Linked DNA regions of Daphnia pulex. The protein of the gene in region 2 binds, or shares a complex with, the protein of the main gene of each other region. Links are inferred from orthologs where the notes say so. Each region holds a gene or a part of one and is shown on either strand. Other genes may lie near its edges. The genes, in order: polycomb protein SCMH1-like and polycomb protein Sfmbt-like.

The links.
Region 1: the proteins of polycomb protein Sfmbt-like (region 2) and polycomb protein SCMH1-like are in contact, whole or in part, in a crystal structure (PDB 5J8Y), measured with the Drosophila melanogaster proteins. The link is inferred for Daphnia pulex from reciprocal best matches to the Drosophila melanogaster genes Sfmbt and Scm. Residues at the interface, in NP_001260432.1 of Drosophila melanogaster: Lys1176, Asp1177, Met1180, Met1185, Lys1186, Val1187, Gly1188, Pro1189, Leu1191, Lys1192, Asp1195; in NP_001247006.1 of Drosophila melanogaster: Lys831, His832, Glu833, Ile834, Asp835, Lys837, Ala838, Leu841, Leu842, Met846, Lys849, Tyr850, Met851.

What each region holds. Positions count from the first base shown.
Region 1 is NC_060019.1:4,229,864-4,239,490, reverse strand, and holds polycomb protein SCMH1-like, read right to left. Parts: upstream 5,986-9,627; 5' UTR 5,892-5,985; intron 5,831-5,891; 5' UTR 5,683-5,830; intron 5,614-5,682; 5' UTR 5,539-5,613; coding exon 5,517-5,538; intron 5,445-5,516; coding exon 4,981-5,444; intron 4,877-4,980; coding exon 4,684-4,876; intron 4,618-4,683; coding exon 4,390-4,617; intron 4,307-4,389; coding exon 4,160-4,306; intron 4,090-4,159; coding exon 3,880-4,089; intron 3,809-3,879; coding exon 3,602-3,808; intron 3,535-3,601; coding exon 3,325-3,534; intron 3,267-3,324; coding exon 2,884-3,266; intron 2,810-2,883; coding exon 2,675-2,809; 3' UTR 2,276-2,674; downstream 1-2,275. Other genes in the region: MTOR-associated protein MEAK7-like, read left to right, coding at 1-44, 144-253, 319-434, 506-624, 686-737, 943-1,073, 1,747-1,789, 1,855-1,902 and 1 more; uncharacterized protein LOC124189850, read right to left, coding at 6,571-8,573, 8,910-9,027. UniProt on the Drosophila melanogaster protein: Polycomb group (PcG) protein. PcG proteins act by forming multiprotein complexes, which are required to maintain the transcriptionally repressive state of homeotic genes throughout development.
Region 2 is NC_060022.1:3,563,298-3,572,841, reverse strand, and holds polycomb protein Sfmbt-like, read right to left. Parts: upstream 5,670-9,544; 5' UTR 5,323-5,669; coding exon 5,264-5,322; intron 5,202-5,263; coding exon 5,112-5,201; intron 5,045-5,111; coding exon 4,821-5,044; intron 4,756-4,820; coding exon 4,620-4,755; intron 4,541-4,619; coding exon 4,420-4,540; intron 4,346-4,419; coding exon 4,115-4,345; intron 4,046-4,114; coding exon 3,890-4,045; intron 3,822-3,889; coding exon 2,999-3,821; intron 2,944-2,998; coding exon 2,321-2,943; intron 2,258-2,320; coding exon 2,102-2,257; 3' UTR 1,672-2,101; downstream 1-1,671. Other genes in the region: ecdysone-induced protein 78C-like, read right to left, coding at 8,797-8,991, 9,090-9,269, 9,343-9,506. UniProt on the Drosophila melanogaster protein: Polycomb group (PcG) protein that binds to the Polycomb response elements (PREs) found in the regulatory regions of many genes.

The DNA.
Region 1 (9,627 bases), on a different chromosome or scaffold from region 2:
TAATTCCCCTCTGTCGAGGTATTCCCGCCCAAGTATATCCTTCGGTAAACAAATTTCTTATATATTTACTATAAATACGTTTTTTTCCTAGCAAATCGTAGTGAGACCAACTCTAATAACCCCCTTTTTTTAAAAATTTATAGTGGTTATCGCTTTCAGATATTCTTTTTATTAACTGTGCTTTACCAAGTGAATTGCGAAGTGAATGGAGGTTTTTGTTTTCTAGCCGCATACACGGCGAAAGTTTTTCAAGGTTTGAATTTTTTAAGGAATTAGCGTTAGTACGTACATTACCTCATTAATTCCATTTCGTTGTAGCCTCATGGGTAACATCATCGATAAAGGACCGTCTGTCGTTTTTATTAAAGACTTTGATGGGCATATTTTTGGCGGGTTTGCTTCTACGAGTTGGACTGTGGGTCCGCAATTTAAAGGTATGTAATCACTAACCTGTACAAAAAATGTCAATGCGCAAGTTTTTTAAGTTTCATATCGTTGTACATAGGCACAAAGGACAATTTTGTGTTCTCATTAGCACCACAAATGGCTATATATAATACAACAGGATTCAACGATCACTACCAGTACTTAAACCTACAACAACAAACTTTTCCCAATGGAATGGTATTCAATCTGCCTTTTTAAAAGTTTATTCTAAATTTCTGGATTCTAATTCTTACTTTAGGGAATGGGCGGTCAACTGGACTATTTTGCCATCTGGGTTGATTCGGAATATGGTAATTTTAATTAAAATTCAGTTGTTATTCAATATTGAAAAATGTTACTAGAATAATTAGAAAACAGCATTTACATTTTCTCTATTTGTTTAATGCCCGAGATTATACGCTTATTATATCGCATGTAATTCTTATCCGATAGTTAAACAACATTTTGACAGCAAGCGTATTCAAATCTTAGATTGTAACACTTTTTTTTTTATAGGAAAAGGCAAGTGTTCACCCAGTTGTACGACATTTAACTGCCATCAGCTGTCCGGTAAACCAGAGTTTTCCATCGATATGATTGAAGTGTGGGCCGTCGGTCCAGAACCAACTGAAGACGAAGATGAAACGGTAAGTTATTTTCTCTTGGTTGTAGAGCATACCCCATGATTTATGACTAGTCAATGAATCAACACATCAACAAATGGAAATTGTCTTAAGATAATTTATAAACCTGATGACGACACCGCGAGTAACTTTACATCTATTACTTTAAATAATTACATTATTGCCGCTCGGGTGACTGAATGAAGGTGAAAAGAAGAGACGGCACAGGAAGCGTTTTGGACACAAACCAAGAAGACAGGGCCATGCTCGATATAATTGGGAAAGAGAGGCACAGCGAAGGATTACGCGAACCAGTAGACGAAGATTGATCGTTGGGTCAGACCTTTAGAAGCTCTGTTAACATAAATATTGCATATGTATTTCAACCCGCTCGCTCGTTCACCTCCGTAGTTTTGTTCTTTTTTTTTAAACATTACTAAATCATATTTAGTACCCAATTATTCGCTTTGATTTGATTTACCCGTTCCTGCCTGTCTTTAAATTAATCTGAGAACGAATTAATACGCAATTCGCTTTTTCTGTCGTCGAAGTCTGAATGCTCTTATCAACTAATCTTTTTTTTTAAAATTCATTAATTGCTCGCTCTTTCGCTCATACTAATTTTTTTTTTGCTTTATCGTATAAAATCCTGTACTAGCAAAATGATTAATTTCCACATTTAAATATGTTCTTTTAGGAGGCACGGCCAAGCATTTTGGACGTAGACGTAGAGGGTAAAGGTACGTAAATATTTCTTGTAAATTCGATATTTCTATTTAATTTAACCGATTTAAATATTTTATAGCCATGCTAAGAATGTTGAATCGTGGACCAGTTTCAGAAGGAATGCGAGGTAAAATAAGAGTTAAACTAATTGTCCTTCTGAGTTTTATTTTTTTCTTTACTTACTTACCTTATAATTTGTTTGAAATTAATTTCATTCTCAGAAAACCCAACATCGGATGATCCCGAAGAGAAAGAGCTGTATGTGTCATCGGTCTCATCTCAATAACTCGTCACCGATGAGTTTTAGATCCATTCCATTTCTTAGTCAAAACAATTTATTGCTCCGTTGTCTTTGAAGATAATAAAGCCAAAATATAATTATTAGAATATGCAGTTTAAACAAGTTTCTTTATTATTAATTTTTGCGTTTTCTGGTGAAGCCTTATTGCCTTTTAATTGTCCTACCCGGCAATCGTGAATGTTTAAGGTTTTTATACATATTGATTTTTTAATTGAATGTATTGTGAGCACAAAAGCAAACCTTAATTGATCTCATGTGCACCTAATTTCAGGAAATATGAACTGTACGTTAAAATTTAAAATGAAAAGTTTCATATAAAATGAGGGACGACGATTCACTCAAAGCATGGTTAAAAATACATTAACCAAAACAACAAATCGAATGTAATACAAGCGAAGTTATAGGACACGTATCGAGAAATGGCCAGAGGCCCCGTCCCCTACTTTCGTGATTATCACAGACGATTCGGATCAAATATATATTTTCTATATATGTTAGTTGGATTTCGCAAGGAAAGGTTCAAAGGTCTCTGGCAGCCTAGCATTTTTTGTCCAATGTCGATAGGCTCTTAGGCTGCCACTGCCCTCAGCATTCGCTTTCAAATTGATAGATGACGGCGCCCTTTCAGTCGGTTTATAGAGTTACAAATCTTAAGAGAAGGGCCTAATTTCAGCCCCATATACTTCATCATCATTTCCGAGGTGAGAAGAAGTAGGGCCTTTCCGTCAATTTCCTGCCACACACGGATGAAATAATGCTTTAGTAAAATATTTGCAGTAATGAAATAATAAATAAAAATCGAATTACATGTTTTTGAAAGAGTTGAGAGTGTACGTTTAGACCTGAATCAACAGAAGTCAGATAGCGCATCACGTCATCGACCGACCATTCAGCAGGATCGGATGGTGTACAGGGCGCCTTCGTAGTCGCAAGGGCTGTCAACGCATTGATCTCAGCTTCATGACTAGTAGTAGATGTGGCTCTTTGTAGATCAGGCCGTTGTAACTCGGGGCTCGATTCAGTTTTAAGTGTTGTTGCTCTCCCGTTCAGCGCTTTAGTGGTTAAACAACTCTCGGCCGGCAGAATGTGCGGAGGAGAAACAGTTTCGCGTCTGCTATTGATAGGGTCAGTTTTGGGGCTAGTCATCATTTTCTTTTTTGAACTGACGGGAGTCTTGATGTATTCTCGAGCTAAGATAAATCCGTGCTGTAGCAATTACTGAAATAATATCGGACAGTAGATTGATACCTTTCCGTTTGTTTGCACGACAGGTGTCTGGCTTGATTGAATGATCGGCCAAATTGGCGACGCATTTTTTACAATTAACATCGGCGACTGTACTAATCAAATTTTCACAATAACCGAGATCTTCGCACAACAGTTCCAGGTAGGTTTCAAGCCCCACTAAATCGTCAACAGGAGGCAAACGAAGCGTATGAACTACATTTTCATATTTAGCTAACGAAAAGAAAACAGTGTCAGAGAGGCAAATTGAAATTTGGATTAAATGATTAATTGTTCTTACCACGAATGATAACGTCTCCGTCACCTTGACGTGTCCGGAGGATTGAGAAGGTTTGTTTGGTTTGTAGCGCGGCGTCAACTAAACCCTGAACGGTGTCCCGCAGAACTTGGCTCGGCGTTCCAGGTCCAATTGATCTTTTTAGCTGTCGTATTTTATTGGGATCCAAGTGAGATCCGCAGTTGCACGAGTGGTTGACATAGATGCTCACTGAAAATGTTTAAAACATATCCATTTTAAATAGGGCGGGAAAAAGTCATCAAAACATAAGAAAATCTTACCAATTGCTGCTTCCCTTTCAATCGAGGACGTATCCGGTTCAGAAACGACGACGCAAGGTTCTGTTTTAGCTCCAGTATCTGAGGACGAAATCGCCAACTTTCCAACTTCTGTCGGCAATTTATCTATTCCCGATGACGAAGATTGTAAAGGAGGAGGAGGAGGTATGTTGAGAACGCGAGATTTGAATCGGCTTCCAGTCGTAAGAGCAACTAAGAAATTGAAAAGGTTCGAATTACTTAATGAAAAGAAAAATATTTAAATTAAGCAAGCGGAGATTACATTTCTGCCCGGGAGGTTGAAGTGGGTGTCCAACCATTGCACAAAACCCAACAGGAAAAATGTCTCTAGAATCATATCGGCACCAGTAATCAAAAGCGCCTTTCCATCCATCAAATGTAACAAAAATACTATCATTGTTTACAGCACCTAATTAAAAAGAAATATGTCAGATTGAGTTTCAATACTACGATTTAGGTTGAACTAATTAACGCTGCCGGACTAGGTCATACCAACTGTGGCAGCACAAATTAAATGTGGATTTTTGCGATCAACAGCTTCAAGTTTTTGGCCGATTCGAAACATGTTGTATCGGGGTGAAAGAGGCTCTTTTTTAAAGTAGCAGCTTGGTGCAGTTTCAGCTCCAGTGAGAGTTTTCGAGAGGAATGTACGCCAAGATGAGGCATTCATCCGGAAACCTAAAGGAGGCTGCAACATTCCCCCACTGCTTTCACAGTGTCCTGATAAACATCCAGAGTAATTATTGATTCTGTACGGCTATCAGTATCTAGTTGTGAGACCCTTACCTATTGGATGTATGTCATTGGAATCAACCAATCTCCAGAAATCATTTTTGTTATCAGAACCATCGAGACGTAAGCGGAGCCGGGGGCCAATTACTGCGACAACTGTAGCAATGCAAGTTGAAGTCAAATTACGTGGATCTTGCGCTTCTAGCTTGACTCCAAAGAGAAATTCATTGGTTGGTGGCTTTGCGTGCTGTTTCCGAAATTCGTCCGTAAAAAAATAATTGCAATAATGAATAATAAATAGTAAGCCTAATAGATGAAGTCTGAATGGTAAAAATAAATTCAACAATATACCTGTTTAAAACAAACTGGGGGAGCTGCTAAACTTCCAGTTTCTGCTAGATAATCCTCCCATGCAAAAGTGTAAGGGTTGACACTCAATAATAAAGGTGATTCAGAATGAACTGCTGGTGATGCAAGTGACACATTGGGACTGGTCTGTAAACTTTCCACTGAAGATGAGGGTTTCATTTGTTTACTCAGTTCTCTCTTTTTTAATTTTAGGTAACACTTTTCGCTACAGAAATCTCTTGTAGACAAGTTCACAAGGCTTTGAAATGGTAAGCCAGAAATTGCTTCTCCACACTGAAAACACACTCCTTTTCTGAATTCTGATAAACAAGTTGCAGAGCAAAAAATGTGTCTTCCATTCTTCAGTGGCAGAACATATAGGTTGGGTTTTTCTGTTTGGCTACACCAACCACAGGGTAAAATACTTCCTTCAGCCACCACTGGAGTACCATTGACTTTGCTGTGCTCTTTAACAAAAAGATAGTTTTTAAGTAACATTGTAAAGTGCATTGATGCTATAAAATAACCAGAAAACATACGAAATAATGACTGATGGCTCATTCTGCTTTCAAATGATGAATTCTCAGCACCTCACACTCCTCACAGCCAAGACAATTATTGAATTTCCAAAGCCACCTAAATATATTCAGTTATAAAGGACAGTTGTACATGACTCAAAACAATTAGAAATCCTCAAAAACAAACCTGAATTTGATTGATGACAGAAGCATGGAAGTATGAAAACAGAAATGGAGATCTGTGAGATCGATTCTCAACTGTCAGTTGCTCAGTGCTGCGGTTGTTTCTAACTCAAGGCAACGATGATCTCGTGGAAAATAGAATCTTTCTTGAACTAGTACGTTAAAATAACTTCGATAAAACTTATTAAATTATGTTAAAATGTTTTTATGTACGTCTTCCATATGCCGACGCGACCGTTGTTTTTCACACCAACCGTTGTGCAGAAATTCGATACAATTGATTTGAGAAAATCACGAATCGTTAACTATCGATATAATTTCAGATCGATAACTGACTTTTTATATAATTATTATTTTAAAAATACTCATTAGTCATTATGTTTTATATTTGCCAGTTCGGACTGGTTCGGACATTATAAAAGAAAGCATTGTCTGTTTTTCTCTGGTAAAGAGTCAATATAATCTACGACAGAAAACATCAGTGATCGAACCGCCATTACTTTAATTTCCCACGCTAATAATTCTGTTTATATAAAATATGCTGTAAACTGCAAATCATTCGCCTTCTAAATATTTAACGCAGTTTGGAAATAGATTTAGATTGTTTACGTAAGAATCGACATGGAATCGATAAGACTTTTTATTTATTTGCGTTTTAATTTGGCAACACTATCACACACGCTTTTATGATATGCATTTTGCTTAGATCTGATGAATATTAGAATACAAAGAAAGTAGTGTGTTGTGTTGATAAATGATAGTAACATTATTTTAATGAAAACTTCGTCGTTTACTGTATCCGTATCTGTGTATTTTAATTTTTAGAGTTTAAGACTTGTTTGAATTCAAACCGATGAACGTCGGCACTCTCATGTGTCATATAGCCTGTAGTCTAGGCTACCGGAGATTGGCAATCCGCCATAATCCATTGATATTCTTTCAAAATATCTTTGCGGGTTTGTAGGAGTTGGCGTTTAATTAATGATTCGTCATCCTCTTTCATTATCAGAATGATTCCAAATGCTTTTAGACCTTTTTCAGGATTACGGCAAATGGATAGTGTACGATTGCGGCTGGATTGTCTCAGGTAACATTTTCGAATGGCGAGTTTCTGCTGTGAAATTGCACTGATGGAAAATACTGACTCAGTCTTGACACTGTTATTTCGATCTTCAACGCTTAACATGTCAGTAATATATCGTTCAGTGACGCTAACAAATTTTGATGCTATATTTTCGATAGAAAGTGATCCTTGCTTGACTTTTTCAATGCGGTTGAGCAGGTCTCTTATAATAGCATGTTTCATGTCGGTATGATTAAGTGATGTTTCCGTATTCCGGTGACTATTGCCATTGATTCGAGTGATTTCCATTAGCGAAAAGCTCCCCATAACAGTTATTTTACTCTCGTATGCTAACTTGGAAATAAAATTTGTCAGTTTGTCCCAACTCTTTTTGTGTTGGGTGAATTGGTGCAAGCTTTCCATCAGGATTTCGTTGAAAGTCGTCCCCTCATTTAAAGCATTGGCTTTTTCCATGACTTCGAATATTTTCTTTAAGAATGGCTCCGTTCGTTGCCACCATATTTTCGTTGTCTGTTCATTAAGCTCAAGAATACTTGACGCTATTTTGACTAGTTCCAATTTCCGATCGCGTTGATGTTCATGCATAATAGTGCTCATATTTGGGTTATGATTTAGATCTTTAAATAATAAGTTGTTTTCTTGATTATTTTTTTGAATCAGTTTGATGTGTCGATGGGCAATCAAAGAAGCCAGATCATCCATTTCTTTTGAACCGGGGCAATTGAGCTCTGTTTTCGGATGTTTCAAGTTCGTTGTACTGGGGGGTTTTATTTTAGTCGCCAATTCCTTAAAAGTGGTGGCGACCTTTTTTATTAAATCGCAGTCGCTTTGATTCAGGATGCCCAGCGTTTGATTGAGCTTCTTCATCAACTCTTCTACTTCATCATCGCCGTTAGTCTGACACTTTTTCGTAAGTTGATGCCCAGTTGAAAGCAAATCAAACAGCGGCAAGTAGTTTCCTTTTAGACAATCATCCTCATTATAGGCAATCTCTTGAAACAAATACCTCCAATTTCCAGCCCGAAAGAAAAATTCTGAACGACGCTCATCTTCGGACAAATTTTTGCGTTGCCTCTTAATCGATTTCGAGGGGTTTTGTCGACTGATGTTATTGGTGTTAAAGCAGCGGTTGTCAAGCCAAGTTTCCATGTAGATATTCGGCTGCTTGTTTTCGAAATTCCTCCACATCTTGTCCAGTAGCCAATTTTTTTCTTGGTGCCAAACAATCTCATCCTCCCTTGACTGTTTGGCTGCAATGACTGTTTTGTTCAATGGTCGAACCTCGACGAACTTCTCTTTTAGCCTGGCATTACATTCTCGTATGATTTCAGTTATCGATTCAATGACCATTTGGTAACTCTGGGCTACTTCATTAGACATTTCTTTGCTTCGCTCCGCCAACTCGATCAGTGGTACCAACGTTTCCATTAGTAGATTGCCAGTAATTTCTTGTTGACGAGAACTGGTGGACGTAAGGTAGTTGGTAGCGTTCATGGCGTGATTTTGAATTTGAACCTTGTTTTTTTGAATTTCCTTCATATTGGCGTAAGCTTTGCGAAAAGACAAGTGGGCACGTCGAATGATTGGCCGCAGTGCGGAACGAAAGTACTCTGTGTCGCCCGTTGAAGTAGTGTTTGTAATATCTGTGTAAAGGGTGGCAATGGACCATTCCAAAAGACTACCAATAGCACCGGTAGTCAACAAGTCATTCCAGTTGTAAAAGACTTGCATAAAGAGCGCAAGTGATTCGTTTAGACTCTTTCCGTCAAAAAGAAGTGCCCCTTTTTCTTTCATCTTCATTTCACACGATACTGCAATTAAAGAAAACAAAAATATTGGGTTAGTTTATTTTTATATGTTGGTATTGAAAAATCCACGAGCGAAAACTGGCGAAAACGCTATTTGTGTGTACGTATGTGTGCTTAGTTTTTTCTCGCTTAACCGACAAATTTTATTTTTACATAACTATAGCTACTCAAGATAAACAATACATGCAATAAAATTCGAAAAAATTTAATAGTCATATGTTTTATTATACTTAATGCATTAAGTAAAAAAAATTCTTTCCCATGGGCAAGATGAAGCAACAATACAGATGAGAGATTTTTCAGCATGAAACGAACCTAATTCCGAATTTTTTTACTTGCCATTTGAATGTGTTTTTGTCAAATCAGCTGCTGATAAACCGGAAGTAAGCGTTACTTCAGAATGAATATTTATCACTAATAAAATAAGGATAAGGCAATATCTGTATTTAACAGCCATATTTCATTCGCAATTCTTAACTTTATTTCAGAAGGCAGACGCAGACGACTGTTGAACTGGCGCTTACTGCCAAGTGAGCACATAAAAAACGTTCAAATATGATCGTCGCGATTTTTTTTTTAAATTATTATTCAGACCATAACACGGACCTTGTCAGCTTTGACACGAACGGTATCTGAACTAACATATCATTTTTCATCACACATAGAGAAAAGGCGTGAACTTATGGTAAAACTACAATCCTCCATTGCTACATATTATTTAAAATGTCCAGAACAATTTTTTAACACAGAAAAAATTGCTATAGATCTTGAACGACAAACTTTCTGCCGTATGGTTTCGAGTGCGTGATCAGCAAATCAAAATCGTGATTCATCAACAAAACTTATTACGACTACATTTTGAACCGCTGAAAAAACAGTAGTTTTTCTCATCAAAATGTCCATTTGGACCAATGCGCAAAACAACGTTGTGTTATAAATTATGGCAGTAAGCGCACAATCAATTAATCAAAAATTTATTATTTAATAGTTATTTTCCATTACGATGACAACTCAGTTATTTTAGCGCCGATAAGGCAATAAGTCAGTCATAAGGATT
Region 2 (9,544 bases):
CAAAGTCGCTATAAATAACCTCAAAATCATAAATAAACCACTTACCACTATAAGGGTGACAATCGTCACTGCTAATCCAGCCACCAGATGTAAATTGTAGGTTTGTTGTTTTGCACTGTTATACTCAGCCCAAGAGCCAGCGGGAACAGGCATTTCATTCATGGTGGCATTTTTAATGTGTGATACGTACGAGCCATTACGAACCGGCTGTGAAGTCAAACGTCCTGCAAAAATTCATATCAATCATTAGTTTAAGCACAGTAAATTAACAATAACAGCCATCTTAAATAACTGTAACGTACATTGATTACACAAGGACATACAAGCGGCCAAAATACCATCTCACGTTTGTTGAACAGGCTCTTTGAAAAGCAAAATTTTAACACAATATTTTCTTACCAGCTTGGGCGATAACTTTAGTAAATTGACGCATTTTGGAATAGATGAATCGTCGAGAAACTTAAGTCACGTAGCAAAATCCCAAGAACTTTAGTACGACTGCTGTACCCGATCACCAGTGCTGCCACCTAGATTCGGCAACGGTCCAATCGCTTACAACGTTGACGGATTGGCCCTATTTTACACAGCTACGGCGGACACGGACCGACGGCCGGGCCGGCAGGGCGACGGGCCAGTGCAGTTATCACATTGGGCAACTTTGCATGGCTATAATAAGACAACTGAAAGATTCACCTCTATTTATAGTTACATTTGCGGTCAAATCATAAGTAAGCAACAAACTGATTTTCAGTAAACAGTTACTTCAACAACAAAAGTTTTTTTTTTTTAATTAAATTTTACTCAAAAGTGTGTGCAAATATTGCTGACGGAATTGGTATTGCGAGCTGCGTTCTTCGATCAATCCTTTTCTTTTTGTAGTTTTTTTCTTCCTAAATGAATCTGGCCAACATGACATTTTCTACCATTTTGTTTCCCTATTTCCGCTAGTCGGGGCCAATTTATTTCGTAATTGACATAAAAATACACGATCTCGAGACATTTTACAGAGGGCTGGATGGAAGAATAAGAAGTGAAAGAGTTCATTTTGTTTCTTGTCAACAAATCAATTTGCATGCGGTCTCGTAAGATTTGGCAGTTTCACGTCAACTGAACATCATACGGAATAACCGAACAAGAGGGAATGGATTATTGCGTTCATCGTCAGTTATTATTAAATATGCCGTTTGCTAGAGCTTGTTAAATATTGATTGTGGGTTTCTCCGCGTAGGATAATAACGACAAAGCTCCTCGCTGCATCTTAGTGCGACTATCGTTCATTATTATTTTCTAACAGAGGCTTACACAACTTTGTTAAAACGGTTCAGCTTTCGCCGACTAAAATACTATGACGCATATCGAAACTGGGAAATCCGATTGAATGATTTGTTTTCACAAAAGGAAACACTAGTTCAATATCACATTTTCAAATAAATGTTTAACTGCTAAGCACCTTAGGCGAAATCAGTCCTGTCATGCAAATTCAATACTGTGCAACACATCTATTTCATTGAATTTTGAGTTCTCGCGAGTATTGATCGGAGGAAACTAACTTTATGTAACCTTTTGTCGTCAATATTTCTAAATTCCTTTTTCCTGGAAACGCTTCGCCAAAGTGGATGCCTATTAGCCACCACTGCCAAAAGATGATAGAAAAACAAAAACAAGATTAAATCACAAAAAGAACACTTTTTTATTTTAACTTCAAGTGTGCCACCAAAAATGTTTCTTTTTTAAAACAAAAAAGATCGTTTGGTTGTTAGTAAGAAATTGTTTGTGTTACCACGACCAACCGATAGGGAACCCGTTTTTTTTCCAATGGTTCTTACGTTGGGTTCGATCATGGGCGAGGTGTGCAGGTGTTAATTAAGACGGGTGAGTCGTGTCGAAAGAGACACGCGCTACATATACAAAAAAACGGCAAGTGGAATCAAGTGAAGAATCACAAAAAATTCCATCTTTGCTATCAACTCAACTGAAGCTGGCAGGGAAGTAAAGAGTCTTTAAAGAACCGATTGAAGGGCGAGGGATGAAGAGGAATTAAGACCGTTTGTAGTCATTTTCTAGGTTAAATGAAACAAAGAAGAGAGTTGGGACCTGGTGACTAATTACTAGCATTCTGCTGACGAGAACCGGGGCCAACTTTTGATTTGAGTTGACTGACAAGGTCAAAAATCTTGAGCGAGGGACCCAGTTTCATGTTGGTAAGTTGTAACACCTGGTCCTTGCTCATCGACAAGAGTCCTCGTCCGTCCACCGACTGTGAAGAAAATAAAAATGACTACACTCTGCAATCTTTCAAATTAAAAAATGTTATACTCACTGCATTAGTAAATGTATCGCAATAGGCAGTGTAGTCGTTGACTCGTAAAAACTGAGCCACGTCTTGGGTAGTCCATTCGAGGGGTGATACACCGGACAATGCTTCTCTTCGAAGGGCCGCAGAAATGTCAATCAGCCTAGGGATGCGCTTGCCATTGTAATCGTTCGATTCTCCGGTTGCGTGGCTCTCTGCTTTCGGGACGGTTGCTGAAGTTGGCGGCATGGATCTGTTAGGACTTCCAAAACTCGAATTGCTCATTTCCGCATCGTCAGGTTCTGTTCTTCGTCTGGTAGACCGCTGGTGGGGGTTTTGAATGGCAGTCGGAGCCTCGTCGGCCGGTGATGGACAGTTTTGATTCTGACCACCACGTGAGCGAAGACTCCTTGGGCTTTCCTGAGATTTCTTAGTTGACAAGGGAATGAGTTTTGCAGTTTTCCCGCGCACTGCTGCCTTTGAAGAATCCGCTGATGGCGATCTTTCCCTTTTGTTAACCACGGCATTTGGTGCAGCAGTTGAGGTAGAGATATTTTGAGACCGGCCGCCGCCCCTGGCACCTCCTCTGGATTTTCCTCTTCCACCTCGGCCGGGCTTCCTTCCCTTCTTTACGACTGGCGCCACAACTACTAGAAGAATTGACTCAGTTAAAAAGTAAAACTTAAAACAACAATTAAATCATACCAGGAGCAATAGGAGTTTCGAGGCGGTAGCCGGCCAACTCGCACCAACCGACTGGGTAGATCTCTGGTGAAGATATATCCATCCACTGATCAAAGTCATCACTCCAACCGTCAAAGTGGATACGAACTAGCCGGCCAGCGATTTGTGCAATCGTAGCAACGCAAACCAGGCGAGGATCCATCAAGTCGGCCGCTTCGACCCGCATGCCTACGCGTAACTGCGGCATGTTCTCGTCTCGCCCGCCAAAAAGGGATTCCGGTGCTGGAGTGGCTTTATTCTGTCGTAAGTAGTCTCCCCAGCGAAAGCGACCTTCGTAGTCTTCCGGCGGTTTCAAAGTGATTGCGTTCGCCTCGCAGAATCCAGGCGGAGCGATACAAGCCGAACTCGAATGATAACAGAACTCGCCGGGATCTTCAACCTGATCATCGCCGGCATCAGCCTCTTGTCGATCGATGCGGATCATCAAGTATCCTTGCCGCAAGACCTTGACAACACTCGCAACGCAGATGTGGTCCAAGTTGAGAGGATCCACCGCTTCCAGCTTCATGCCTTCTTTAAACTTGAGCGCTCCATTGCCTTGTGTCGGTTTCATTTCGTTGAATAGTTCGCTGGTGGCATCATTAGGAAAAAAGACTTTTTTGGCGCATCGCTCCAGGTAGGCTGGCAAAGCATCGATGTGGTGACCAACAGATTGCGACCAGCCTACAGGGTGGATCAGGCTAGATTCTTCGTGACACCAGAATCCCATTTCATCGGGAACCGAACCTTCGTAACGGAGGAGCAACCGACGACCAACGATCATATCGATGACGGCTACTTTCACCTGTCAAAAATACAAAAACTGTTACATCAGAAAAGAGTTGGCATCACAGTCGACAATGATTCACTTACGCTGGATAGGCGATTGCGATCAATAAGCTCGACGGTCATTCCGAGTCGGAAGCGAGATCTACAGGCTTCAAGTACCCGAACGTGAAACTGGTTGGGCAATGAACGGGCCCCCGTCAATCGTTTCACCAAGAACTCTCGCCACTCGGTGTATTTGTCCTAGTGAAATTAAATTGACATGAATATCAACCGAATAGCTTGTTGGAAGAGATTTAATGAGTTTCGTACCTGGATAGTTCGTGGTGGTATCAGTGGTTTCCCTTTAGAGGCACACCAACCGACAGGGTGGACGTCTTCAGCTGCCAGATTGACCCAAAAATCTTTGGAATCGTCATTGCCGAAGCCTTCGTAGCGAAGCAAGGCCTTGTAACCCATCAGGCTGATGACAGATGCCACCCAATACGATTGTGGATCACTGTTGGCTGTTGCTTGCCGGGTGTCAGTGTTTTCAACCTCGACCTGGAAATTGAATCGCAACAAACGTACAATCGTCTTTTATTCTTTCTTAATTGAGTCCGTTTTATTCAATATACCTTCATGCCGACGCTGACATCTGATGCCCAAGTATCACATAAAGGAGCATGACGGAAGCAGGAAATGGGTGGTGTTACAAAGCCCGGTTCAGTCAGCATTTCCACCCAATCGAATCCATACCTGGAAAAAAACAGAACAAGCATTCCTTTTACTTTCGACTGATTTTGAAAACAAAAATAGAGTGATAATTTCGTCGGACTTGTCTTTGTCTGATCCAGGTACTTCTTTGGCCAAGAGCAGCCGTTTTTTGTTGGAATACACATGAACATCTTCTGCTGGTTGGCCCAGCTTCCTGTTGACAGGCTGCTGCCCGGGTTGTAAATTAAGACGTTTCTCTATAAATGCAATAAAAGTATGAAACACGATGTCAGTATAGATTATTAATGTGATGATGAATTACCTGAATTATTGGAACTCATGTGCGGGCTTTCGTTGAAACTTTTAGCACACGCTTGACTACAAAATCTCCTTTCCTTGGTGTAGAATGAATGTTTAACGCCAATTGCTCCACACTTTTCACAAACTGCCATCCCCTCTTTACGAATAGGGATCATATCCAAGTCGGAATCCTTCTGGAAGGCTATGGGTGTTTTAAGAATTAGACCATCGACAGGTTTGATTTTCCTGTTTGGGAAAAATAAGTTGTCGGTTATACATGTTGTTTTCACAATGAAAGAGATTGCATGTTTACTTGGACCCGAGATGATTGGCATCTTCCCCATCAGAATCTTCATAATGTGAATGGGACACCAGGTGAAATTCAGAAGATTTGTTGGTTGCCCTAAAACGTCAAAATATTAACATTGTCACACATGCCAGACATGGACAAACAGGCCTACTCACTCCTCTATACCAGGTGTTCGCTTGTCAACTGAACTGACACCATTAGACGCAAGACCCATTCCCACTTAGAAATCACAGAAAGCTTATCTCACTGAATTTGATGAAAGTGTACAATATATTTGTTGAAATATCAACTTGAAATGCTTTTCTTCAAATGCAAAAGGTTTGAATAGTTGAAAATGAAGTCAGAAAATTGTAAAAATAACCAAAACTGCAGAGTGATAGTCTCTGCACAGTTCTTGTCAATATGACTAGCAGTTACGTTAAAGCGAAACGTATTTTTTGGCGGGTACTCACGACCGCTAAAAGGAGATAGGGAATTTTGAATTACTAATCACCAACCGCCGCCAACGGTCAAATACTAAGGAAGTAGAAACAGCCACTGACTTTTTCAAAAAATATATATACTAACAATTTTCTCTCTGACAAATGGCGACAAACGGAGACGCTTTCTTTGACAACGAAGGAAACAACAGGCCAAAAGACCCTGATCAACGATTTTTTTGGTAAATCCAAATCACAAAAATAATGAACGACAACAAATGAATTGGCCAATGCAATGCGTTGGCGTCCAACGGGAGGCACTAGTCGTACCTTAATTTCGATGTGTCAAACGGCCAAAATTTTAAAGACGACGGGGCGTGACAACTGGCTGGACTGTCAACGATATTATTTACCTGTCCAACTAAAAGAACGTTGACGAGATGCTATGGTTCCTCGAGAAAAAACAAAGGGAAAACCACCCCTTCAAAATTAAAAATTTCCTCCAAATAAAAAAAGACCGGAAACAACACAACAAGGAGGGGGGGGGTCGATAATCAATTTGCCCCTAGAAAACAGCGTTGCCACTACTTTAAAGTTTTCCTTTTTTTTTAAATAAATTGAATTCCTAATTTCCTACATGTTATTTTCACCATTTCAAGGTATAAAAAAGTTAGACATACTTTTTCCATCCGAAAGCACTATAGGGAAAATAACCAACAAGTCAAAACCTTTTGGTTTCGCTGGGTCACGCAAAAGCTCTTTGAATAATAAATGTTTCCTACAGGGAAAACAAAATAATTAGGAGACACACAAAAAAATAAAAATAAAAAGTTCAATCGACCGCAGAAACGAATAAGTAACGTTATATTTTGTCTTTCTTCCTCCCAGAAACCAAGAGTAATAAGAAAATATACATGCTCCGATATTATACATGTTGGAAAGTAGTAGTATAGATTGTTGGAAGAAATGGCCCCCGTTGGATAAGAAATAATATAAAAGAACGACTTGTATAACGGAACCCAGTGAGGATTGCGGTTTAGCATTTTTCTCGTTACGATTCTTTTCGCCGTTGGTTTTTCTTCTTTTTAACGAGTCATTGTCAACAGTTCGCAATCGTAGAGGAGAATACGGTTACGTCATTTGTGTTGTCTGATTTTTTTACATGTTCACCCGCGAACCGCGTCAGCAAATCTAACATTGTTTCTTATCCGTTTCACTTGCGATTCCCGCAGCTGTAAATGTACATAATAATCAACGGTTAGTTTGACATAACCAGAGAGTGTCTGAACGGGATACTGTGGCCGTGATTGACAACAACCAATAACAAAAAAAAAGGGAACGCAGTAGAGTGTATTATTATTATTTTATTTGTTTTGGATCAACAAGTATGGGGATGAAATTCAACTATACGGCAAAAGCTTTTTGTTTCATTTGAGGGGGATGAACCACGTTCAATTTCTCGGTTTCAATGGTATAATAAGAATGTGATTTTTACGATTGCAATTGCCAACGGGATTTTGACTCTCGGCCGGGGGTTCTCTCCGCTTATTCTTTTTGGTTTAATGAGGGAACGCGCGGTCACGATTCACCTGAAGCTTTTTTCTTATTTTTTCTCAGCAGAGAATACGTATGTTCCTCCGGCTCTCTGAGAGAGTGTCGTGAAGGAAACACAGAGAACCGCGCGAGAGTTATTAACGTTATTCTTTCGTTTTTTTCTGTAATAGCAAAAAGAAGGTTCTTGAAGCCATAATGGCATCAGCGTATTGCCGAGTTATATGTTATAATTTGAGCTTATTTTCGACGTCGGGGTTTATTTTCGTACATTATTTCTTTTCTTCCTTTCTCCGATTTTTGTGCCGCTAGGATGTGCAGTTGTTATTACACAGCTCGACGATGTAGTATATACGTCCCGGCCCGTTATACGCGATTGCAGAACAACCGCTCGCTCGCCATCGTAACAATAGACATTTGAAGGAAGATAGACCTATAACTAATGCCCGCCAACGTGTACGTACCAATTGAAACGCGCATAAGGGAAACACAAACAAGCGCACAGCCAATCGTCTAAAAGCTTGTGGAGAACAAAATTCAGGTTTGAAATCATTCCAGATCCTTGCGTGCGCTTGCGTGCGCGGATTGAATGTGAAAATGCAAATATACCGGACGCACTTATCACGTTCAATCCCGAATCACATCAGTCGAGAAAACTATTCGAACAATTTCATTTTTTGTTGTTTCAAAAATCTTTGTCACGTCATTATTTCGCCGCGATGTGCAATATAAAAAAAAGATAATAAATAACGAGAGTCTCGAATGATTATTTTTAAAAACTGTATAGAGAATTAAATATAGAACAAACATATTTTCACCGTCGTACATCAAACTGGGTTGTGTGAGTGCGTGTGTTCTTATATACGTGAATGAAAGAGAGAGAGATAGGGGCATCAGATGGAATAAGAGCGTATTACACAACAGCATGTGGGAATATTATATATACCGAATATATATATATATTTATATTTTATATGTATATATATATAAAAAAAAGGAAATGATATAAATTAGTTTTCATTTCATCATTCGGGGTTATTTCTTTTTTTTTTATCCTTTTTTTTAACTTGTCGGGTTGGTGAACTTTTTTCTTTGGGACATTTGGGAGAGACGAATGTGTTTAAAATGCGATGAAGAATGAGAAATATTTCGTAGAAAATGAAAAACAACACATTTGAATAAAAGGCAAACACACACAAAAATCACCTGGGGAACAAAACAAAACAAAAACATTTCAAAATGTCGAAAAATATATAAGGGAGAAAAGGACGGAAAAGGTTTGAACTCGTGAGAATAAGAAGATCAAAAAATCGGATTGTTCTTGATCATTATTTAAAAAATATTTGGTAATTATATGTACACACGGTGTGATGATATAATAACAAACTAAAGCAAAAAAATCTCAATTTCTTAAAATAGGTTCTCAAAAGATTTTCTCGATTGTTTTTTTTTTCTGGGGGGAAAATATATGAAACTCGTGAGCGCGAAATTGTGAAAATTATTATTCGTGTAAACATATATAATTCTATGGATGGATGGGTTTGAGAACCGTTCGAGTCCGAATATCCTATTTCAAAACTATAAAAATCAAAAAGTTTATCATCATCCCTTTCCATCGGTTGTTTGGTTTTCTTTTCCCTCTTTAAAAAATAAAATTTTAAAAATTCCTCTGAAGAATTGAGAGAAGAGAAAAGAAGCGTGACACTGTCTCATGGTTTTCAAGCCAGATCTTCCTCGCTGCGGGGGATGTCAAACATTTCGGCGAAGAGCGGGGGCAGGTGAATGAGCAAACTCCATCGGCGACGGTACCAGTCCAGCTGCGACTGATGTCGGTGGCCAATGGCCCTCAGCTCGACAATCTTCTGGAGAACGGCGTTGATCAGGCCCGGGTCGCTGGCGTGATTTCTCAACAACTTAGAAATTCAAATGAGAAAAGAAGAAAAAAAAGATGATGAAGTAAAATCGAAATGGATGCGCATCAAATAGAGAAAAGAGCGGAGGACGGACGCACCTGTAATCGAAGAGCGTCGGTGATGCGTTCCTGGTACTGGGCGATGCCCTTGGCGTCGTTAATGACGGGCCGATCGGGCGATAGGAGAACGGCGGCCGAAAAAAGAGCCATTTCACTATCGTTCATCGACATTTGGTTCAAGCCTTCGGCGAATCCCATGACGGTCTGGATGAAATCAGCCTGGAGAAAAAAGGTCAAATTTTTTCGTATCATTTCAAATTCACTTTTATTTTATTTTTTATAAATCAATTACGTCAAAGATGAGGTCCATCTGTTGCTTGGACAGGGTCACACCGTCCGTCAATGTCATCGTTCCTTCCTGGCTGTTGATCAGTCGACTGACGTGGCCCAGCCACACTTCGAAAAATCCAATCTTGATCAGGATCAACTGATCGTCCTGACTCAACTCCGGGAAACCTTTTCAAAACCAATTCAAATCATTTTATTAGAACATT